Ovis aries: one gene and its partners. The protein of the gene in region 1 interacts with the protein of each later gene in a pairwise test. Links are inferred from orthologs where the notes say so. Each region holds a gene or a part of one and is shown in the gene's direction. Other genes may lie near its edges. The genes, in order: SYCE1, LMNA, WASHC3 and BFSP2.

Region 1 (6,190 bases):
CTGGCACTGATTTTTAAGTTTTTGTTATAGGAAGTGGCCACAAGGCAGCAGCATTTCTTCAGGCCCAATTCTGTTTCCTTGGGCAAGTAGAGTCTAGGGAAAATCCTATTCCTAGATTGCCAATTAGAGAGGAATATTCCAGAAGAAACACTCAAGGCTTGTGTCATATTACTTCATCCCCCTTACCTTGATCCCCGAGACACATCCCAATTCCTGCAACACTATCCTATGGAGGATTCTAGCATCTGTAGGTTCGGTTCGGTTCAGTTCACTCGCTCACTTGAGGAGGACAATGTGACCCCATGGACTGCGGCACGCCAGGCTTCCCCATCCATCACCAACTCCCACAGCTTGCTCAAACTCATGTGCATCGAGTCAGAGATACCATCCAATCATCTCATCCTCTGACATCCACTTCTCCTCCTGCCTTCAATCTTCCCCAGGATCAGGGTCTTTTCCAATGAGTCAGTTCTTCACATCAGGTAGCCAAAGTATTGGAACTTCAGCTTCAGCATCAGTCCTTCCAATGAATATTCAGGACTGATTTCCTTTAGGATGGACTGGTTGGATCTCCTTGCAGTCCAAGGGACTCTCAAGAGTCTTCTCCAAGACCACAGCTCAGAAGCATCAATTCTTCAGTGCTCTGCTTTCTTTATGGTCCAACTCTCACATCCATTCATGACCACTGTAAAAACCATGGCTTTATCTAGACAGACTTTTGTCAGCAAAGTAATGTCTCTGCTTTTTAATATGCTGCCTAGGTTGGTCATAGCTTTTCTTCCAAGGAAGGCAGCCACCATCTGCAGTGATTTTGGAGCCCAAGAGAATAAAGTCTGTCACTGTTTGCATTGTGTCCCCATTTATTTGCCATGAAGTGATAGGACTGGATGCCATGATCTTACTTTTCTGAATGTTGAGTTTTAAGCTAGCTTTTCACTCTCCTCTTTCACTTTCATCAAAAAGCTCCTCAGTTCCTCTTTGCTTTCCACCATAAGGGTGGTGTCATCTGCATATCTGAGGTTATTGATATTTCTCCCAGCAATCTTGATTCCAGCTTGTGCTTCATCCAGCCCAGCATTTCCCATGATGTACTCTGCATATAAGCTAAATGAGCAGGGTGACAATATACAGCCTTGACGTACTCCTTTCCCTCTTCGGAACCAGTCTGTTGTTCAATGTCCAGTTCTAACTGTTGCTTCCTGACCTGCATACACATTTCTCAGGAGGCAGATTAGGTGGTCTGGTATTTCCTTCTCTGAAGAATTTTTCAGTTTGTTGTGTTCCACACAGTCAAACGCTTTGGCATAGTCAATAAAGCAGAAGTCAATGTTTTTCTGGAACTCTCTTGCTTTTGCTAAGATCCAGCAGATGTTGACAACTTGATATCTGGTTTCTCTGCCTTTTCTAAATCCAGCTTGAACATTTGGAAGTTCTCAGTTCACGTACTGTTGAAGCCTCACTTGGAAAATTTTGAGCATTACTTTGCTAGCATGTGAGATGAGTGCAATTGTACAGTAGTTTGAACATTCTTTGGCATTGTCTTTCTTTTGGATTGGAACGAAAGCTGACCTTTTCCAGTCCTGTGGCCACTGTTGAGTTTTCCAAATTTGCTGGCATATTGAATGCAGCACTTTAACAGCATCGTCTTTTAGGATTAGAAATAGCTCAGCTGGAATTCCATCACCTCGACTCACTTTGTTGATAGCGATGCTTCCTAAGGCCCACTTGACTTCAGAATCCAGGATTTCTGGCTCTAGGTGAGTAATCACACCATCATGATTATCTGGGTCATAGAAATCTTTTTTGTATAGTTCTTCTGTGTATTCTTGTCACCTTCTTAATATCTTCTGCTTCTGTTAGGGCCATACCATTTCTGTCCTTTATCGAGCCCATCTTTGCATGAAATGTCCCCTTGGTATCTCTAATTTTCTTGAAGAGATCTCTAGTCTTTCCCATTCTGTTGTTTTCCTCTATTTCTTTGCATTGATCCCTGAGGAAGGCTTTCTTATCTCTCCTTGCTATTCTTTGGAACTCTGCATTCAGAGGGGTATATCTTTTCTATTCTCCTTTGCCTTTTGCTTCTCTTCTTTTCTCAGCTATTTGTAAAGCCTCTCAGACAACCACTTTTCCCTTTTGCATTTCTTTTTCTTGGAGATGGTCTTGATCACTGCCTCCTGTACAATGTCAGGAACCTCTGTCCACAGTTCTTCAGGCACTCTATCAGATCTAACCCCTTGAATCTATTTGTTACTTCCACTGCATAATCGTAAGGGATCCAATTGAGCTCATAGCTGAATGGTCTAGTGGTTTTCCCGACTTTCTTCAATTTAAGTCTGAATTTTGCAATAAGGGGGTGGGGAGGGCAATTTATGGCCTCCATCCAGAAAGCCAGAGTCCTTGGGTTAACTGCCAACCTCTCAACATGTGCAGAGACTCGGCTCCCCACCACCAGGTTCAGGTGCCCTCCTCGCAAGGTGGGCGACGCCACATGGGGCAGTCCCTCGTGAGACCTCTGTCATTAGCAGGTCGCCAGCTCCTCAACCAGCCAATCGCCAGCCTGGAAGATCCGTGCGCGCCCCCCACACCTGCTCTGCACGGAATCTGTTCTGGGTGGACTCAAGCGCGCGCACCGCCGCTTGCCCAACCGCCACCCCAGCTGCCGGCTGGAAGGAGGGTACGTACGGCGCAGAGGTGCACTGCGCAGGCGTGCTGAGGACGCCCCGCCCCTGGCGCGGCTTCCGTCCAATCCCAGAGGAGGCGCCGGCGCCGGCGAGCTGAGAGGACATGGCTGGGCGGCCGGGATCGTCGAGTGCGGAAGCGGCGGGAGCCGTGGGCCCGACTGACGAGGCCAGAGGTAGAGCTGGGCCTGGCGGCGGCCCCGACCACGGCTGTTGAGGGCTGGGCAGGCAGGGAGCGCACGCGGGCGCCTCTTCCTCAGAGTCGGGGCGGGCGTGAGGAAAAATGGCCATCAGCCCCATGGGAAGGATCTTGGCGGCTCTGCCGGGTGGACTCACAGAAGGCCCGTGCCCCACGTGCACTCACTTCCTTTGGCCCCATCTGCTGTGCTTGAGTAGGTTAAAGTAGGCAGAGGGCATCCTTTCAGTCTGATCCTGAGCGTCCCACAGGCATCTCCTGCAACAGAAAGGGACTTGTTCTCGGCCCGTGTCACCCGAGGGAAGGAGTCTGTCCCATTTCTCTCATCTCACAGCACCGAACCCCTGAATTTCCCTGTTGTTCCATGATGGTCCTCAACAGTAGATTCCCCCTCCCCCAAACCAGGATCCAGACCGCCCCGCAGAGCGTTACGTTTTTTTTCTTCCTGACTCTGACCTATTGAACAGTGGCTCCCACCTCACCGGGAAAGGAGAGGCATGGCAGCTCATTACAGTTATAAAGTTTTCTGAAATAACAGCCTAGCAGAGAGAAGAAAGATAAAAAATATTCCCAGGCTTGTCCACCCCCGAAGGACATGCTCCTGGGTGTTAACACAAAAGGGGAGAGAACTGTGCAAGGAACACGCATCCCTCAGCTTGCCTCTGCTCTGCGTGGCCTCCCTGTCTCCCCGTGTTGAGATGCTCTCATGAACCCGTCTTGGCCATGTCCGTCGCAGCTGCAGGCAGTAGTGCAGTTTTGGTACATGACAGGTGCTTTGTGGCTTTTCTTTAATAAATAAAATGAAGGTTTAAATACTGAAATAAACTTAGCACAGAAAGCTTGCTTGGAGCAGGGAGGAGTGGCATTCAGTAACAATCCTCAGCTAAGAACAAAAAGAAAAACAGAACAGATGTATATAGATCTCTTTTCTTAAGCACCTACTGTGTTCGCCACTGTGCTAAAGAAACCTCTTAGTATCTTTGTTTCAAGTTCATTAAGCTTGCATATTTAGATGCAGTTGACTTCACCAGTGTCTTATAACTGGTGAAACACCATTTCTTGCCTGTGGTGAGGACCAGTTTCTTGAATCTTAGATGTCCATCTGTGTCAGCAGAATGGGCAAGGGAGCTCTCTGGGGTCTCTTATAAGGTGCTAATCTCATTCATTAGGGCTCTAGCCTCATGACCTAATCACCTCCCATAGGCCCCACCCTCTGATACCATCTCATCAGACTTTAGGATGTCAACAAATGAAAAATGGAGGGACACAAACATTCATCCTACAGCAGTGAGAGAAAATGAGACATCAAGGTTCCATTCTCAGTCTACTGGGTTTTTTCTAAAAAGGGGGCAGTGGTGCTATCTAGCCCTAACGGTGGTGTAAAGATACAGACCATGTCATACTCTGACGAGAGGAAGAAAGGGTGAAGGCTTTGCAGTAGTCCTTCTGGCACAAATTTTAACATTTTAATTATCTTTTCCCCTTTTGGGTCACATTCCTATAGGATCACCCAAGACATACATAGATGCATGGATCGGATAGTGACTGGAGCTTAAATGGTGGTAGGAAAACTTGGGAAGGGAATAGCTAAATCCCATGCACACTGGGATATACCTGTGCAGTGGATTTCTAAAATGAAGAGGAAGTAGAATTAAAATACACTTAACCAAGTCAACGTTGAAAGTATTAGACATACAGATACAATATGATCTTCAAAACATTTTTATGAGAGTAAAGCAAGATAGAAAAATTGCAATACTGTGTAGTTTGCACAGAAAGATGTCTGGAGGCTGCTTTCCTAATTGATGACTCTGATGGAGGGATCTAGTTTCTGCTGCTGCTCAGTCGCTTCAGTCGTGTCCAATTCTGTGTGACCCCATAGACGGCAGCCCCCCAGGCTCCCCCATCCCCAGGATTCTCCAGGCCAGAACACTGGAGTGGGTTGCCATTTCCTTCTCCAGTGCATAAAAGTGAAAAGGGAAAGTGAAGCCACTCAGTCGTGTCCGACTCTTGGCAACCCTAAGGACTGCAGCCCACCAGGCTCCTCTGTCCATGAGCTTTTCCAGGGAAGAGTGCTGGAGTGGATTGCCATTGCCTTCTCCAATCTAGTTTCTAAGGGCAATGCAAAGGTGAAGGAACGTTTTTAACCTTAATATTTGTTTTTTTCTACTAGGACTATGTAACTGATACTTGTGGAACTTTTAATTTATAAAAGTGAAAGTAGGAGACATTTTTAAAGTACCACTTGATGATCACATGTTAATATCTCTCACTGCTAGTCTCTGTTTTAATTGTTGTACTGTTGTTACTACACAGGAGCATGTCCTTGTACTTCAGAACTTCACACTGGGGTATTTGAGGGCAATGACGAATTGTATCTGCAACTTATTCTTAAAGTTTATGATTATTAGCAAATGTAAAACTGGGGTGAATGGCATATAGAGCTGTGTGTTCTATTTCTGCAACTTTTAAGTAAATTTGAAATTTTTTAAAATAAGTAAAAAAGGGGGCTCATATAATAACATAGGCAGTGGTACCCTTGATTTTTTTTATTAACAATATATTAGTTGACTTGTTCAACAGATATATTCTGCTTTCCCACTCTGTGCCTTACCTTTTAATATGCAATAAAGAAAAAAATAAAGGTGCAGCTCACTGCCTAGTCTATTAATAATACCTGGACAAATGATTGCTCAAGAAAACTATAAATTCATTTTTGGGTCATTTTGGTCAACATTTAAACGTAAAACCATATGCAGAAGTATACAGTGAAAAGTAAACATTCTCTTACCTATCCTTCCACTTCTACTCTCCAGAAGAACTACTGTTGAAAATATTTTTGTGTGACTTGAGCCAGAAATTTTCTAGAAATAAGACACATATATTTTTAGACAGACAAAATATTTTTTTCACCTCTCTCTGCAGCCAGATGGGATTCTATATTGTACTGTTTTGTCCTTTCTTTTCTTTCAGTCTATCTAGGTTCTCTTTCATTGTTATTACACATAAATCTACCTCCTTTTCAATGACTGCACAGTATTCTCTTGTGAGCTTGAATCATAAGTTCTCTACTGCTGGGCATTCAAGTTTCCCATTTTTGACATAGATATGTAACCAAGCATATCTGATGGGGAAATTCATAGAAGTGAAATTTTGTCTTGAAAATGTTGATGTAGCCAACCTGTCCTCCAAAAGTTTCCATTAGTTTTCACAGTCCGTCAGTGTGCATTAGTGCCTGTTTCTCTGCATTGTAATAAACACAAGGCATTATCAGACTTACTCAGCTTTACCGAGCTGCTAGATACAACATGTCATT
Region 2 (6,019 bases), on another chromosome or scaffold:
TTAAGTGTGATTTTGCCTCCCCAGCCAGGAGGGGAAGTCAGGCCAGGCCAGGCAGGGACTGGGTGGGGCAGAGGCCGGAGAGCCCTCTGGAGGGGGGCTGAGGCAGTGGGAACAGCCACTGTCCCTCACGTTTCACTGGCTCATTCACCCCACCTCTCATTCTGACTTGGGGAACACAAGAGGGAGAAACAGGGAAAGACTTTCTGTTTTGTCTGGGAAGCTGAAGGTGGGTGCCCCACCCTGAGGGAGGGGGCTGCAGGGAGGGGAACCATATCGCGGGTCCCCCAACTCTGAGTATCCTGGATGCTCACCACCCTGCCCAGTCAACCCCTGGAGATGGAAACCTGCCATCCCTCAGGGAGTGTTTCTCTCCCTGAACACTCAGAGTCCCTGCCTTAATCCTGCCCCAGCTCCAGAACAGAAGACCTGTCCAGCCCTGTTTCTCTGTGTATCCTGATATCCTGGAGCTGTAGGAGTTAGCAACATAATTTAATTTCCCCAGTTCCTCATCAGAGACTAAGCCATGAGAGGCCCAGGGTCAGGGCAGGAAAGCACATGGGTTCTGGAGCCTCAGCCTCTGCCACCTCTTAGAGGTGATGAGATGAGATGGTTGGTGGGGCCGGGGCCCGGATGGGAATGGGGAGTAGGAGGCTGATTAAAGGGGTCTCCCGAGAGTCCTGAGGATGGAAGCTCAGGGACGTGGATGATCCTGTTTTGTGAGAGGGCCTGGCCCCTCCCCGGAGCCAGTGGCAAAGCAGACCTGGTCAGAGAGGAATGTGGAGATAAGTGCGGTGCTGGCCCAGCAGTCAGCAAGGCTATGGGCGCCTTTGCTGTCTTCACCCCCATCACCCCCCTTTTCTGGCTGAAACCAGGATAGAGACCCAAAATTGGCTGTCCAGCCCCCAGCCCTGCTCCCCCTTTCAGGCCCCTTTGGGAACCACAAAAATTTGGGACCTGGTGTCCTGGCAATGTGATGAACGCATGCACAGCTCTGGTATCTGTTTTAAATTATCCATTAAAATAAGTACAGTCCTGGAAAAAAAAATAAGTACAGTTCTGGGGTTGGTGGGCTGGGCTGGGCTGGGCTGAGGACTAGAAAGGGACCAAAGCTGGGAGGAACCTCAGGCAGGCTCTTTTTCTGACTGCTGGGGTCCAAAGGAAGGGGATGGGGTGGGCAGTACTTGGGTCCTATTCTTGACCTTTTCTGGGGCCTCGGGGTTGTTCTTTGGGTCTACGATCCAATGGTTGATTTCAAAGGGAGATTAAACTGGGGCAGAAAATAGGAAAAGAATAACCCCAAACTCTGGTCCCCACCCTGAATTTGAGGGTGTAAAAGGAACTCAGGATCCAGAACTTTGTGGCAGCTCTCCCTCCAACCACCCCAGGGAACCCAGGCATATTTCCCCACCCCACCCTGGCATACTGAGATGTGGCTTTGAATGGACTGCCCACTCATGGAGGTGGGGGGTGGGGGAGTAGGGGTGACTCACTATTACTATGGGGAGGAAAAGGGGGGCCAGTGGTGGAAGAGTGAGTCACCCTCATGGGCACCAGCCTCAGCCTCCCCCCACTTTCCTGGATCTGCCTGCCTGGCGCCCTCCCTTGCTTTGTGCCTACTGCCCCTCTTCCCCCTGCCCTTTGCCCACCCAGCCTCACCCCTTGGCTCTGCCCATTTCCCCCTCTAAGGCCAAAGGCAGTGGGGGCAAGCTTTTAGCTTGGATCGCTGAGCAGGTAGAGACCTAGAGACGAGCTTCAGGGAAGCCCCAGGCACGTGGGGGTGCCTGAGGGAGGGTGGGGCCCTACCCCGGGGCTGTCGTCTCCCCTGCTCACCCCTCCCTCTCCCACCCCTGTGGGTTAGCGACGGCCCCTTTAAGAGAGTGGCCCCTCCTCCCATTCCCTAGACCTATTAGAGCCTTTGCCCGGGAGCCGGTGACTCAGAGTGTTCGCGGGAGCTCCGCATCCACACCGGCCAACCGAGATCCAGAGGTCTGACAGCGCCCGGCCCAGATCCACAAGCCTGCCAGGAGCCAGCCGAGAGCCAGCCGGCCGGCGCGCTCCTACCCCAGCAGTCTCTGTCCTTCGGCCTGAGCCCCGCGTCCTTCCCGGGACCTCTGCCCCTCGGGCAGTGCTGCCACCCTGCCGGCCATGGAGACCCCGTCCCAGCGGCGCGCCACCCGCAGCGGGGCGCAGGCCAGCTCCACCCCGCTGTCACCCACCCGCATCACCCGGCTGCAGGAGAAGGAGGACCTACAGGAGCTCAATGACCGCTTGGCTGTCTACATCGACCGGGTGCGCTCGCTGGAAACGGAGAATGCAGGTCTGCGCCTTCGCATCACTGAGTCTGAGGAGGTGGTCAGCCGCGAGGTGTCTGGCATAAAGGCCGCCTACGAAGCCGAGCTGGGGGATGCCCGCAAGACCCTCGACTCGGTGGCCAAGGAGCGCGCCCGCCTGCAGCTGGAGCTGAGCAAAGTGCGAGAGGAGTTCAAGGAGCTCAAGGCGCGGTGAGTGCCCCAGGTGGCGGCGTGGGGCCGGGAGGGGCAGTGAGGGCAGAGGGACTGCCGCCCCTGCCTGGGCTCCAGGCCGTTGGTAACGTTGCCGTATAGTTTCCTCCCTCCCGGAACTGCCCCCAGCGAGTGCCTGGCAGTGCCAAGGGAAATTGTCAAGACAGGACTGAGAAGGGAGAGGTCTCTGGGAGAGGGTGGGGTATATAAGGAATGGCGGGGTTCATCAGGGCCAAGTAGGAGCTGGTGGCAGGCCCGCAATCTGTCAGGGTGGGATTTGCCAGTCATTTGGGGCCTGAGAGAGGGCCTTGAGCAAAGCCGAACTGGCCTTGCCAGGTCTAAGACATCTAGGCGCCCAAGACACTTAGGAGTGGGTGAGAGGGTCCTGTTGGAACTTTCTTGGCAGCCTTGGCACCGTGCCAACCTTGCCCAGCCTGTCTCTGAAGACATGACTCCCACTAAAACAGAGCTCCTAGGCTGGGAGATGTCTAGTGGTGCCAGAGAGAGGTCACCAAAGCCGGGTGACCCCCTTTTCCCCCTGCAGGGGCACAGCGATGGCCCCCACTGCACAACCCTTTCCCAGGCTCTTGTTAAGAGTTTTGAAGTGCTCCTTTACTCCCTGCATGTCTGGGACTTCCCCTGGCCTCTGACAGGCCCACCGATCAACTCTAGGAGAGCCGCTCCCCCGCAGCTCCCACAGCCCTTGGCCTGCTTGGCCCAGGAATGCAAGGGAGGGAGGGAGACGGAGGGCAGAGGCTCCCGGCTCAGGAAGTTGTGTTATGTATGCCCAGGTCTGTACCTCCCCTTCCCCATCTCCCCACCCTCACCCTCTGCCTAGTCCCTCCCTGCCTCCCTTCTTGGGGTGAGCCACTTTCATTTTCCCGGCCAAGCCTAGCAGCCTCTGCTCTGGCCGGCCCTCTCAGCCACTGGGACATTTTTTTTGTTATTGTTCTTTGCCTTATTAAACTCCTGGAATACTGTGACATTTTTGAAATCCAGCCGTTGGAAGACTCAGGCCCCTCCTACCTTACCCATCCCTGCCCCACCCTACCGCACCCTACTTGTCTCCTCCCTCTTCTCTGAAAAGGCCTTTGGAGCTGGGAAGTTTAGGCCCTCTTCAGCTCCCCAAGGATTTGTTTTCTGAGAAGACCTCAGCCAGAGAGCACTAAGGTGCTTGGAGACCCCTGGCTGAGGCTGTAGTGGTTGGTCTTCTCTTCTTCCCCTTTGCGTCGTCTTCTCCAGGCTCATGCTCTTCTCAGAAGCGCTGTGAATTTGCTACTCTTTATACCCCTTCGCTAGCCCCCAGCCCCTGGCATGGTGGGTGTGGCAGATGTATCATCCCCTAGTGAAGAGTAGATGGAAATGGTGTGGGTAGGCAGGTGACTCTCCCCCCCACCACCCCCCGCACCCCCAAGCCCAGGCTTGCCAGGGGTCAGTTCCCTGATCAGACCAGGGATCCAAAGCCAGGAATCCTAACCATTAGGCCACCAGGGAACTCAGAGTGACTATTTCTGTTGAAAGGGATCATTCCTGTCATTGTCCACTAGTGATATGAATAACTTAGTTAACAGGGCAGACAAGAGGCAAGCTAGGGGAGTCCCAGAGAATTAGTCTTCCAAACTAGCTTACCCAGCTACCGAACTACTACCTTGCGGGTCCCTGCCAAGGGCATTCTTAGCAGGTCTTTTTCTGGGGAAGGTTTTGACCAGGGAACAGAACGAGTGGAGTCTATGGTCTCTCGCTAACCCAGCCACACCAGTCTGTCTCTGCCTCCTGGTGCAGCTGTCCCGGTCTGGGACACCAGGCGGGTGTGTGCGCACGTGGGACAGGGCCGGGGGTGGTGTGTGTACTTGTTATATTTAGCTGCCTGCCTCTCCTCTCCCCCACTGATCCTGGCTGGGGGTGCTGGGCTTCCGGGAGAGGGGGGGTGGTTTTGCACACCTGGATCCTAGGCTGATAGGAGGTTGGGCGGAGACAAAGAGGGCTCACTTGAGGTTTCTGTCCCCTTCTATGTCCCCAGTGGGAGGAGCAAGGATTTGTTGCTCCCTTTTGTGTCTGCTTTGCTCAGGGTGAGGTGAAGAACGCCATGAAGAATTTGGGAGAGGAAGAAAGGCATTGTCCTAACTCCTCCCACTAAAGCCTAGAGAGAAGGTGTTGTCTGGTTTAATGTTTAATTAGAGCTCAGAGTTCAGGGCCAGGCTTTGGGTTGGGATGCAGAGCTGTCTGTAAGGTTTTGTGGCGATTCCTGGCCCAGCCTGGGTACCTTGACCACACCCAGGGCTTTGGGGCCCCCTCTCATCAGACTGGGTTACAGGCTCCAAGCAGAAACACTGCTCCTGCCTGCAAACACAGACTCACATCCTTTATTCTGGAGCCCAGGGGTTTTGAACACCTACTCGCGGGAAGAAAGAGGAGGTTAAAAGCATCAGAGAAGGCTGGCCTGGGGTCGAAGCTTGGAGTTAGGCCCCATCCCAGGCAGGACAGCTGGGTGGATGACTCAGATACTGCCCCCCTCCCTCCCACCCCAGTGGCTTTGCAAGAGACAGGGTGGAGGCAGCAGATGTCTTAAAGGGAGGGGTGGGGGCCTGAGTGTCTGCATCCCTGCTCGCTGCTCCCCACTGCATCCTGGGCTCCTTTTCTGCCTTCTTCCTTAGGTGGTGGTCTGGAACCAGGGCTCCTGACAGACCGTGTACACAAGTAGTTCTAAAGCAGAGTCCAGAGTTACAGGCTTGGGCTGCGGGTTGGTGCGAGGGTCTGTGTCTTCCCAAACGGAACTGGTAGAGGAAGGCTGAGTCAGAAGTGGGGAGATCCCAGACCCACAAAGCAGAAGCATCCCTTTCCCCCGAACAAGGCCTTGGGTGCCCGACAACTTCCTGAATTGCCCGCCTTACATGATGGCCTCAGTCAGAACACGGAGGGACCTGCAGGCCCAGGTTCTTCCAAGCTCTCATCAGGATAAGAACAGGGAAAACCAGAGAGGTGCGAAGGCTTGTCCCGTGTCACACAGCCAATGAATGACAGGCCTGGACTTGAGCACACGTCTTTTGACTCTCATTTGAGTGCTCCTACCATTAAACCTTGGGCTTCCCAGGTGGCGCTAGTGGTAAAGGACTTGCCTGCCAATGTGGGAGACATAAGAGATGCCAGTTCGATTCCTGGGTCGGGAAGATCCCCTGGAGGAGGGCATGGCAACCCACTCCAGTATTCTTGCCTGGAGGATCCCCATGGACAGAGGAGCCTGGAGGCTACAGTCCATAAGGCTGCACAGAGTTGGACACAACAGAAGTGACTTAGCATGCACACACACACACCATTAAACCTCACTTCTCTAGCTTCAGGGACAGGTTGGAGGATGTGGAAGGAGGGTTGGGGTGACTGAAGTGCACCCCTGCACTCTGGAGATTCTGCTCTGAGGCCAGTGTTGTCTTAATGTTCTGCTGTCCTGCAGGGCCTGTTATCACTTGATCAATAGTCTTTGCCACAGCCCATACCTGGAAAGACCCAGGACCCTTCCAGGC
Region 3 (5,430 bases), on another chromosome or scaffold:
TAACAGTGAATAAAAAACTCTGTCTTCAGAGGAGTTTACATTCTGGTCCCAGTGATTGATTGTGGCTCTGATAATGAGTTTCATAAGACTGAAAATGTAACAGCTTCTCTATGAATACAGTTTTATAAAATAACCATGAAACATCCTAATAAAGATAATTGAATACTTGAGTTTCAATTCTTACTCTTGTAAATAAGAGAGTAGTATCTTAGAAAATCACAAATATTTTAACCATAGTTTTTAACTTTATCCTTTTGTTTCTACTCTTTCTTTTTCAGAAACTAGCAGACCTTTCTCTTCGAATCCAGCAAATTGAAACAACTCTCAATATTTTAGATGCAAAGGTTTGTATTTCTGAATAATTTATAGGATAAACTTGCTGTACATATAGCAACTTTCTCAGTTGCATTTAACTTTAATTGTATTTAGGAATGAATTCAATTTAGCTCCTGCATCCATGATGTGGTGCAGTGCTTTCATTTGTTTAATTTATTATAATTGCAAAGGAAATAATCTTCATTATGAACCAGTAACTGAGTCTGTTTAAATATACACGTGGGTCAAGGTTTCTTTCATTATTTAATCAGAAACATAATGAGTAACATGTTAACAAATTGAATGTTGTATAGTTTGCTTCATTTAATGGAAAACTCACAATTATCTTAATAGTAGTCATTGATAACACAGGAAAAAGTTCTGTAAAACTTTACATGTCTCCAGAACAAAATTTGGAGAAAATCTCAGCTATTTTCCATTTGTAAATATATTAAATGCTAGTGAGTAGTACCAGTTCTGATGTCAGATATCACAAAAGGTAACTGTCATATAAAAGCAAAAATAGAAGGTTGTTTCAGTTTGAAAGCTTGCAGGTTTTGTGTGCTTTTCTTGTATATAAAATAATGGAGATGCTAATATATTTTTGTGACTTTGTTCTGTTATCAAAAAAAACTGACCTGAAAAAATATTTATTGACTATTTATAATCCATGGGCTTGCCAAGAGTTGGACACGACTGAGTGACTGAACTGAACTGAAGGAAGTGAAATTACTAATATCTTCTAGCATAGGGATCAGAATGTCTGATTTATGCTTTTACATCTTCCTGTGGTCTTCAGCTACTGTATTTCCCTCGGAACATTTCTTTAGCTTGTAATTTAGGATATTTGGCCTTGAACATGTTCAAAATAGTTTCTTAGCAGCCATACCCACTTGAAACTATTAGGGCCATAGCCAATGTGCTAAATACTGTCATCAGTCAACAGTTTTCAATGAATATTGTTGCTTTAGATCTTATTGCCATTGTTTTTTTCATTATTCTTTATTATGAATATGTATATTATTTTAATGTTTGTGGAATTCTTAAGTTAGAGTCCACGGTCACAAGTTAAGTTGCCATGTGGACAGGTTAACCTTAATTATTTCCATGACCATAGAGTTAATTCCTTAAAGTTAGCCAAACATTTGACAGATGTGTGTCACTGATACCAGAATGAAATCAGAAAAGAATGTTTGCATGGATCTTGGAAATCCAACCTAAAATGCTTAACCACTGACATCATGCTCATTTTTTATGTATGGAAACTAACACATTGTAGTAACATAAAGTGATATTACTAAAGAAAGAAGAAAAGAATAAGCTGCATCATATGTTAACATGTGGCAAGAGTTTTCTCATTTCCCAGATTATTCAAACTTAAAATGTGCTACAGAGCACATTTTGAAGGGGAACAAAATATATTTAATCAAAATCTTTTTACAAATTTGGGATGTAAGTTTTCTTATCCCCCACTGTACAGGTGAGAAAATTGAGGCCTAGGAAGATTTGCACAGGGTTACATATGTTGTCGGAGAAGGCAGTGGCACCCCACTCCAGTACTCTTGCCTGGAAAATCCATGGACAGAGGAGCCTGGTAGGCTGCAGTCCATGGGGTCGCCAAGAGTCGGGCACGACTGAGCGACTTCACTTTCACTTTTTACTTTCATGCATTGGAGAAGGAAGTGGCAATCCACTCCAGTGTTCTTGCCTGGAGAATCTCAGGGATGGGGAAGCCTGGTGGGCTGCCATCTATGGGGTCGCACAGAGTCGGACATGACTGAAGCGACTTAGCAGCAGCAGCAGCAACATATGTTGTGACTTAAACCTTGGCAATCTGACTCCAAAGCCCATGCTCTCATTCCTTACACCAGGATTCCTTATTAAAAAAATAATAATTCCTGAGAAAGAATGGTGACAACCTAAATTAGATTAGTGAAAAATTCTTCAAAAATATTTTATTTGTCAATCCCTTTCACTTTTAAGTAGTTTATGGCATGGAGAATTTCAACCAAAGATGAGATTTTATGAAACCACTTCTATAGCTTTAAAACTTAAGAAAACTATTTGAAACACAACACATACTTAGAAACTTACTCTTTAAAGATCTAATATTATCCTCATATACCAACATTAATTTTCTCCTCTCAGTTATCATCTATCCCGGGCCTAGATGATGTCACATTTGAAGTATCTCCTGTAAATGTCACTAGGATCACAAATGGAACACATTCTGAAGCCACTTCAGAGCAATCACAGGTATGTAATTAAGTTCCGGGAAGCATGAGCACCTCTTCTTGGGTGAACCAGATAGACCAAATCTGCAGGTTCAAATAAAGAAGCTAAATAAAAATATAGCACTTGATTAATAATATTTTAAACTTTAAGATAAAAAATACAGTTTGAAAAAAGTTATTAGCTTTTCATTTTATTATTCTGAACAGTTTCCTGAAGTTAATATTTTTCTTGCCTATAAAACAGAAATTTGACCTATACAGGACTAGGAATAATCTTGACTATAACTACTTTCTTCAAGTTCCCTCTGGAAATTTTTTTCTTGGTTCTTGTAAGAAATGTGTCTTTTAAATGTTTTAGTATGACATTTTCACACATGAATAAAAATAGAATAGTTCAATGACTAACCAAGTGCCCGTTACCTGGATTCACCAGTTGAGATTTTGTTGCATTGCTTCATCTGTCTTTTTTTGTCACTGAAGTGAATTCCAGGCATCATATCTTTTCACCCATGTATAATTCCCTGAGCATCTATGAAAAGTTCTGACATTTTCGTGTATAACCACAATGCCTTCATCATATACAATATAATGAGCAATAATTCCCTGATAATATCTAACTCTTTGTTACCAAAACTCTGCTCCATGGGCCAGCAACCTACCTGAGAACTTGTTAGAAATACAGAATCTCAGGTTCCACCCCAGACCCACTGAGTCAGAATTTTCATTTTAATAAGATCCGTATGTGATTTGAAGGCTCTTGAAATTTGAGAGGTCCTAATCTAAGAAATACCACTTGTCTCAAAGAGTGTGTTTGGGGAGTTGATTTGTTCAAATCAGCGTCCTTGTAAGGCCTGCACTCTATGTTTGGCTCTTATGTTTTAATGTTCATTTATGCACTGTAAAAATTTAAATTGTGTATTACTTTTTATTTCAAGAAATAAAAATTCTTCATTGTAGAATAATTGCTAGTATATCTCAGTGAGGTATTAAAATCCAAAATAAGATAATCAAAAATGGTGGTCTAACAAGTAATACCAAACAAACAGACTTCCTATGTATATGGAATTTTGCATTTGTACCTGGAGGTACTTTTTATGGGATATCTTTTAGATCATTATGATGTTGACTGTGATTGTAATACCTCCCATGTAAAGGTTTCTGACTGTATATGTGGTGTGTTAAGTGCTTTTTATAAATTAACTCATTTAATTCTCACAACAGCCCTATGAAGTAAATACTTTTATAAGTTCTATTAATACTTTACAGGTATATCAAATGAGATACACAGAGGTTAACTTGTTGAAGGTCAGACAATAAATGTAAGAACTAGAATTTTTACCCAAACAATCTGGTGTCAAGAATCCTATCTCTTATCTCCTACACTGCACTGTCTCTAGCACCTGTGTTGAATTCATAAAACATAACTCACTCCATATTCTTGCATGGAAAATTTCATGGACAGAGGAGTCTGGCGGGCTATAGTCCATGGGATCACAAAAAGTCGGCCACAACTGAGCAACTGAGCACATGTGGTCCAAGGCTCTGTGTGGGAGGAGCTATAATTTAGAAATATTGTATATTCGGTGGATGAATTAGATGACTGTTTACTTAACAGTTAGGCCTTCCCTGATAGCTCAGTTGTAAAGAATCCACCTGCAGTGCAGGAGACCCCAGTTTGATTCCTGGGTTGGGAAGATCTCCTGGAGATGGGAAAGGCTACCCACTCCAGAATTCTGGCCTAGAGATTTCCATGGACTTCTCTGGCCTAGAGAGGTCTATGGGGTTACAAAGAGTCAGACATGACTGAATGACTTTTGCTTCACTTCGCTTTACTTAACAATTAGGTATTAGAAAATTTAACATCCATTTAATTAATATAACAAATTCCATTGTGATGATCACTGGAATATATATAATATACAAAAATAAATTCAAATGTTTAGAGGAGTTTTAACTTTACAAGGTTTTATCAATTAAAGATAAACCATCCTTTTTCTAAAACAAGGCATATGTAAAAGCTATTACATGTTTCCATTCTACCTAGTAGGTATTCTTTGGTGGATACTAGCCATTATTATATTTCTATAAATTTATAAAATGATATCTGACTTTCAGTATTAACTTTTCCAGGTGTTACTGTGCACGCCCATATATAATATGTATTTAAAACTTGTACAATTGTGTTGGTCTTGCCTATTTAAAGTCTCAAAAAATTGATTAATCACAACTGAATATCTAAAATTCAGAATTACTTGATATTCTGGCAATTTTATTGAAAAATAGTTATTAATTCATTGGAGGATTTATGAAGTACTGTTGGCTTCCTGAATTTAAAAAATATGGTAAAGTTGTGTATTGATTGGCTTAATATAACTGTTCAGTATGTTCTTAATATTGAAATCAACTCTTTATTTCTCTCCATTGTTTTTAATTGGTATATTTTATATAAAATATTTTGAAATGGACTGAAGTATTGCTTAACACAGAATTTCCATTGACATTACAGTCAACTTGCTTATCAGTTAAAAGATAATCATGAACTTTTTTTTAAGTCATCCATTCATTGCAATCTCCAATCTATATATGAGTCAAAGACCCAAGGTTTGCATACTGATTTTTCTGCACCTTTAATTTCATGGTTCAGATCTTATCATTACTCACAGTAGAACATCTAATTGTACAGATTGAGATTAATTTCAGAATAAAATGAAGGACAGTTGAGAGATACGATAGAAGATTTAATGGGTCATACAAATAGCAAAGGTGTAAGACCTGATATAATTAAACCTTGTTGAGGTCTTGGTTATTAGGCTGAAGTTAAAGGCTGAGTTTTAAAATCTAGTGGTCTTATATGTAATTACCATTTGCTCCATTGTGCTAT
Region 4 (5,430 bases), on another chromosome or scaffold:
AAACACTAAGGAAAGACACGCCGAGGGTATAGAGACCAGAGACACTATTTCTGACTGTGGAATGTGGGAAGTGTGCAGGAGGAGACAGCCTCCCAGCAGGACAGTAAGTAGGGGTTCACAGAGGAAGGAAGGGGCCCAGAGCGTGAGCAGTCAGGAGCAAAAGGGCTTGGAGGCAGTTCAGAGAGAAGACTGCAAAATTTCTTTGAAGAAACACCTACAGACTGCCTCCTCTGTGTGTGTGTGTGTGTGTGTGTGTATTTCTCTCTCCTTTCGTGTGTGTGTATTTCTCTCTCCTTTTGTGTGTGTGTGTGTGTTTCTCTCTCCTTTCGTGTGTGTGTGTATTTCTCTCTCCTTTTGTGTGTGTGTGTGTGTGTGTATTTCTCTCTCCTTTCGTGTGTGTGTATTTCTCTCTCCTTTTGTGTGTGTGTGTGTGTTTCTCTCTCCTTTTGTGTGTGTGTATTTCTCTCTCCTTTCATGTGTGTGTGTGTGTGTCTGTGTGTCTGTGTATTTCTCTCTCCTTTCCTCTCTCTCCTTCTCTCACTCATCTCCCTCTATTTTCTCTCATCATTCTTTCTCCTAGGCCCTCCCTTCTGGTCTTCCTCCCCTCTTTTTCTTCCTCCTCTCCCTCTCCACCTCCGCCCCCATAGGAAGGATCAGTGAATTAGACTAAACAAGACTCTGGCCTCCCCCAGGAGGATTCATTACTTCCCCAATGAGCTACCTCCTTCGGTCAAGGTAATCGTCCTGGGAGAAACGGACAGACCAGGCCAAGGCCAGTCCCTCCCACTGCTCTGCCCACTTCCCTCTTCCCAGGGCCTGTCCATCGGCCTCAGGCTTGGCCTGCGTTCCCTCTCTTGTAGAAGCGAGGCCTGGAGAACACGCTGCACGACGCCAAGCACTGGCATGACATCGAGCTGCAGAACCTGGGAGCGGTGGTCAGCAGGCTGGAGGCGGAGCTCAGAGAGATGCGCGCGGAGGCGGAGCAGCAGCTGCAGGCCCGGGAGCACCTGCTGTCGCACAAATGCCAGCTGCAGCGGGACGTGGCATCCTACCACGCGCTGCTGGACCGCGAGGAGAGCAGGTGCGTCTCTGCTCAGCTTTGTTAGGAGAGGGGTAGGTACTCATAGGTTTCGATTAAACATTTTCTCAAATACTATTGAAGTAAGTAATGTAAAAAGGAGAAATCACCTCCCAGCACACCCCCTCAACTCCCACAGCCTGACTGTCCTCCCAGGATTTTTCCATTCATATGTACATAGTTTTTGTCTTCCCTGGTGGCTCAGTGGTAAAGAATCCACCTGCCAAGGAGGAGACAAGTGTTGGATCCCTGGGTGGGCAAGATCTCCTGGAGAAGGAAATGGCAACCAACTCCAGAATTCTTGCCTGGAAAATCCCATGGACAGAGGAGACTGGGGGTACAGTCCATGGGTTTGCAAAGAGTCAGACACAACTTAGCAACTAAACAACACAATATATAGATGAATATATAGTATATACTTATGTGTGTATAAATATATGTGTGGATGTCAGTATATATTCATGTATACAGACATATAGACACACACCTATAGACACACCTATATGGTTCACACTTAACTCATACTACATGGTAGCTGTTAGCAATGCTTTCTGCTGCATGTTGCTTCTGCTGCTGCTAAGTCACTTCAGTCGTGTCTGACTCTGTGTGACCCCACAGACGGCAGCCCACCAGTCTCCCCCATACCTGGGATTCTCCAGGCAAGAACACTGGAGTGGGTTGCCATTTCCTTTTCCAATGCTTGAAAGTGAAAAGTGAAAGTGAAGTCGTTCAGTCATGTCTGACTTGTAGCGACCCCATGGACTGCAGCCCACCAGGCTCCTCCATCGATGGGATTTTCCAGGAAAGGGTACTGGAGTGGGGTGCCATTGTATGTAGTAAGTCCTTATTAATGAAGCTATAAACCAACACTCCTGAAACATGCCAAGCCTGGGCATCTTTTTAAAAATGCAAATTCTGCTTCTGTAAGTCTGAGACAGGACCTGAGACTCTGCATTTCTGACAGAACTCTCAGGTGATGCCTGTACTGCTGGTCCACAGACCACACTTTGAGCAGCAAGGGCATAAACCATGTTCACCTGAAAGTTTCAGAAATGAGGTAGGCTAGGCTGCTCATGCGGAGAAGGCAATGGCAACCCGTAAAAGACTTTCTCTTTTATCTCATTAACCAGAGTCTGCTCACATGATTAGACCTACCTGCAAGGGAAGCTGGGAAAGCAACTATTTAGCTTTTCCAGCCTCCATAGTGGACAGAGGTGAGAGGTTGGGAATAACATGTGTAAGTCAATGTACATATATATGTGTATGTGGTATATATACATTTATGTGTCTATGTGGTACATATACTTATATAACACACATATATTCATGTGTGGTATATATACATATACACCATGCACGTATATATGCATCTAGCAGTACTTTTTTAATGGGTAAGGACACCCTGAAGCATAGGCATGAGGCTTGGGGCTCAGCTTCCTTGCCAATTCTTTAAGGAAATTCAAGCCTTTCTTTCATCATAATTCTGTATCTTCATGCCCTCCAAGGTCCATTCTATGGCACACATTGAATGAGAAATAGAATAGCAGGGCTAAGAGATGACTTGTTGATTATGTAGTACAATGGCTTATGATTCCAGAGAGAATAAGAAGTCCAGAGCAGAAAAAGATTTTCCCATGGTCCCACGGGGTGGCAGAGCTGGATCCCAGGTGTCCTGGCTCTCACTGTGGTCTGTGCCATCCCCTTCTTAGAAGGTGAGAAGGCCAGGAAGCAACCTAACACTCACTCCTTTCAAACGAAAAACATGGCATCCAGCTCCTGTTTCCATCTGTCTTTTTATTGGAGTGATTTCTGTTGATTATGAAAGCTAGATGTTTGTAACAACGCTAATTTTTTCAGGTGCGTATGAATAACTGAAACACAAAAGTAACAAGACAGGTTAAATTTACTTCAAGAACTCCATCCAGTGAGTGCCTGCTATGTGCCAGCACAGTCTCAAGCTCTACGCTATCTTCATTTCCCCTCAAAACTCTGCCAGAACCACATCATTATCCCCATTTTACAGACAGGAAACAAAATCAAAGACAGCTTAAGTCATTTACCCAAGGTCACACAGCTAATAACCATGGAGGTAGGAGTTGAAACTCAAACTGTCTTGTTCCAAAGGCCAAATTCTTTCTGTGAAACATCTACCTTTCCTATAATCCTATTGTGATGTTTTTACTAATTTTCATCATCCATGGCTTTTCTCACTCAGATGTGTTTTTGGGGTTTTGTTTGTTTCAGCTAATGGAGAAATGCCCATTTTTCATGAAGAAAATGCTGGCTTCCTCACCAAGTGACCAATGAAGTTCCCTGAGGAATTCCCACCCCCACCCCCTTATACCCCCAGCCCCCATCTCCCCTCATCCTTCCCACTCCCCACCCCAAGCTGGATTTCCTGGTTGGTTCAGCTTGAGCTGAAAAGCTTCCTGGAAGAGGAGAGGGTCCTGCTGCCTCAATTCAAGTAGTCTGTAGCTCGAGCAACCTCCCTTGCCCCTCTCAAATAAATGCTTTGTGTGTGGCTTCCAGTCTGCCCACCTTGTTCAACCCACTATCAGATAGAGATGGATATCACATTACCTACCTGGCCTTCCCTCATGGGGCCATTCTTAAAGGCTTCTAGAAGGGTCCTGGAGCATGATGCCATCTTCCTCATTATTCAAGGGTCAGCTGCTCATGGGTTTATCAACATAAATGTGCTTCTGGGGTGAGAGTTGTGCTCAGCATACCAGATTGCCACCATTGGGGGGAAAAAACAATATTCTTGCTAGAGGGGGTCAGCATGTAGCGTGATCACAGAGCATTCAGGTGTCTTTAGTGTGCTCTGCATGAATAGTTATACGCAGACACCCACATTTCACTGCTGTTGGCAGAGCACCTCTCTCAATCAGTTTAAAGGGAACTTCAGTTTAAATCTGTGGGAGACGAATTAGGTTGTGATTGTGGCTGCCTACACTTGCAGCCTCAGAACATTCTTCCAGGGTCCTTCCCCAGCCCTCTCAGGGCTCAGGCCAGCCAAATATAGTTCATGAATCTGCTGCCTACCCATTCGAGACGCCCCTGCCTTCTGATTAAAACTGAAACCACCACCTGTGTCCTAGCACAGGCTCTCAGTGCCTCCAAAACCACACACACACACAGCCCAGACTTAATTTCTTAATTCCTCCCCCAAGCTCCTATCAGCACACCTGTCACACAGAATTACAGACCAAAGTTAAAAAATGATCCAAGCTGAGTCTCTGTCCTCACATAAGCAGCTAATCCAGACAGGGCAGTGTGTCCAACATGGGCACATTTGAAGACCCCCTCCTTCAGTTCCTGGGCTTCCAAATAGCCAAGGTCAACATAAACAAATGGAATCTTATTTACCTTTAAGAAAGTTAGAAAGAGAAGTGAGATAAGACATGGGGGATCGCCTGGTTGAAATCACTCCAACTGGTTTCCCTTTTGGCTCCCAGGATCAAAGGAATTGTATTACTAAGTCAGGTGGGCAGGACAGCTATTTAGTTTGCATGGCATATTTGCATGATTCCCTTTGTTGTCTGAAGCACAGAAATAGTCAAGACACCACCTACAGCTGCATTTCAGAAAGCACCAATCCCCTCCATAGCTGCACACCCAGGGGTGCCCGTGACTGAAGCCACGGGTACCAGGGCCTCCCCAGAAGAGTGTGCAGCCAACTTTATAGAATGCCCGTTCACTGGGCTCTGCTTTTCTTTTTTACTTATTATGGTGAATTTTTGTTCCCCAGCCATGATCTAAATCCCTAACTTAAACACAGCTGGAGAGCCTCAGAAGGCCGGCCATCAGAATGAGGTACTTCTGGATCTGAATGGCTGCGCATTTCCCAGAACCTGGAAGCGAGGGGAGAATGGATTTGTACACCCTCCTGAGCTTCCAGCAGACAGCACACTGTGCCGGCTGCACACACTCAGTCTCCTCATCTCTGTAGTCTCAAAGAGCAGCTGCCGTAAATCATTAAGTTAATCATCCTTTGGCAAGGCGAGCCCAGCAGACTGGTGCTTCCAGTTCTCAGCACGGTTTCTTGCTGTCTCTAATGAGGCTTCATTAACAGGTAAGAAAAGGCACTGTTGGCCTTGCTGAAGCCTCCTGTAATTCAGGCTTCCTCTCACAGCATCCGGTACAATTACACTCTGGCAGCAATTCACTGACAGGTGGCAGGGAGGCTGTTGCTTGTGTTGGCCTCAAGGATGGAGCACTTGTTCTGGGGCAAAGGAGAGAAGGGCTTTCGACAGACTCCTCCGGAAGCGCAGATGAGCTCTATTTCCAGATCAGGTTACTCCACTGACCTCTGGTCTGGCGCCTGGGGCACAAAACTCCCACTGAGATTG

What was found.
Region 2: the proteins of SYCE1 (region 1) and LMNA interact in binary tests that used the Homo sapiens proteins (3 or more experiments, as listed by UniProt). The link is inferred for Ovis aries from reciprocal best matches to the Homo sapiens genes SYCE1 and LMNA.
Region 3: the proteins of SYCE1 (region 1) and WASHC3 interact in binary tests that used the Homo sapiens proteins (3 or more experiments, as listed by UniProt). The two-hybrid records come from large-scale screens. The link is inferred for Ovis aries from reciprocal best matches to the Homo sapiens genes SYCE1 and WASHC3.
Region 4: the proteins of SYCE1 (region 1) and BFSP2 interact in binary tests that used the Homo sapiens proteins (3 or more experiments, as listed by UniProt). The two-hybrid records come from large-scale screens. The link is inferred for Ovis aries from reciprocal best matches to the Homo sapiens genes SYCE1 and BFSP2.

The regions. Positions count from the first base shown.
Region 1 is NC_056075.1:51,475,432-51,481,621, reverse strand, and holds the start of SYCE1 (synaptonemal complex central element protein 1), read left to right. Parts: upstream 1-2,744; 5' UTR 2,745-2,784; coding exon 2,785-2,854; intron 2,855-6,190. UniProt on the Homo sapiens protein: Major component of the transverse central element of synaptonemal complexes (SCS), formed between homologous chromosomes during meiotic prophase. Requires SYCP1 in order to be incorporated into the central element.
Region 2 is NC_056054.1:106,135,382-106,141,400, forward strand, and holds the start of LMNA (lamin), read left to right. Parts: upstream 1-1,936; 5' UTR 1,937-2,145; coding exon 2,146-2,501; intron 2,502-6,019.
Region 3 is NC_056056.1:171,452,525-171,457,954, reverse strand, and holds part of WASHC3 (WASH complex subunit 3), read left to right. Parts: intron 1-278; coding exon 279-344; intron 345-2,463; coding exon 2,464-2,571; intron 2,572-5,430. UniProt on the Homo sapiens protein: Acts as a component of the WASH core complex that functions as a nucleation-promoting factor (NPF) at the surface of endosomes, where it recruits and activates the Arp2/3 complex to induce actin polymerization, playing a key role in the fission of tubules that serve as transport intermediates during endosome sorting.
Region 4 is NC_056054.1:256,587,575-256,593,004, reverse strand, and holds the end of BFSP2 (phakinin), read left to right. Parts: intron 1-860; coding exon 861-1,081; intron 1,082-3,322; coding exon 3,323-3,326; 3' UTR 3,327-3,606; downstream 3,607-5,430.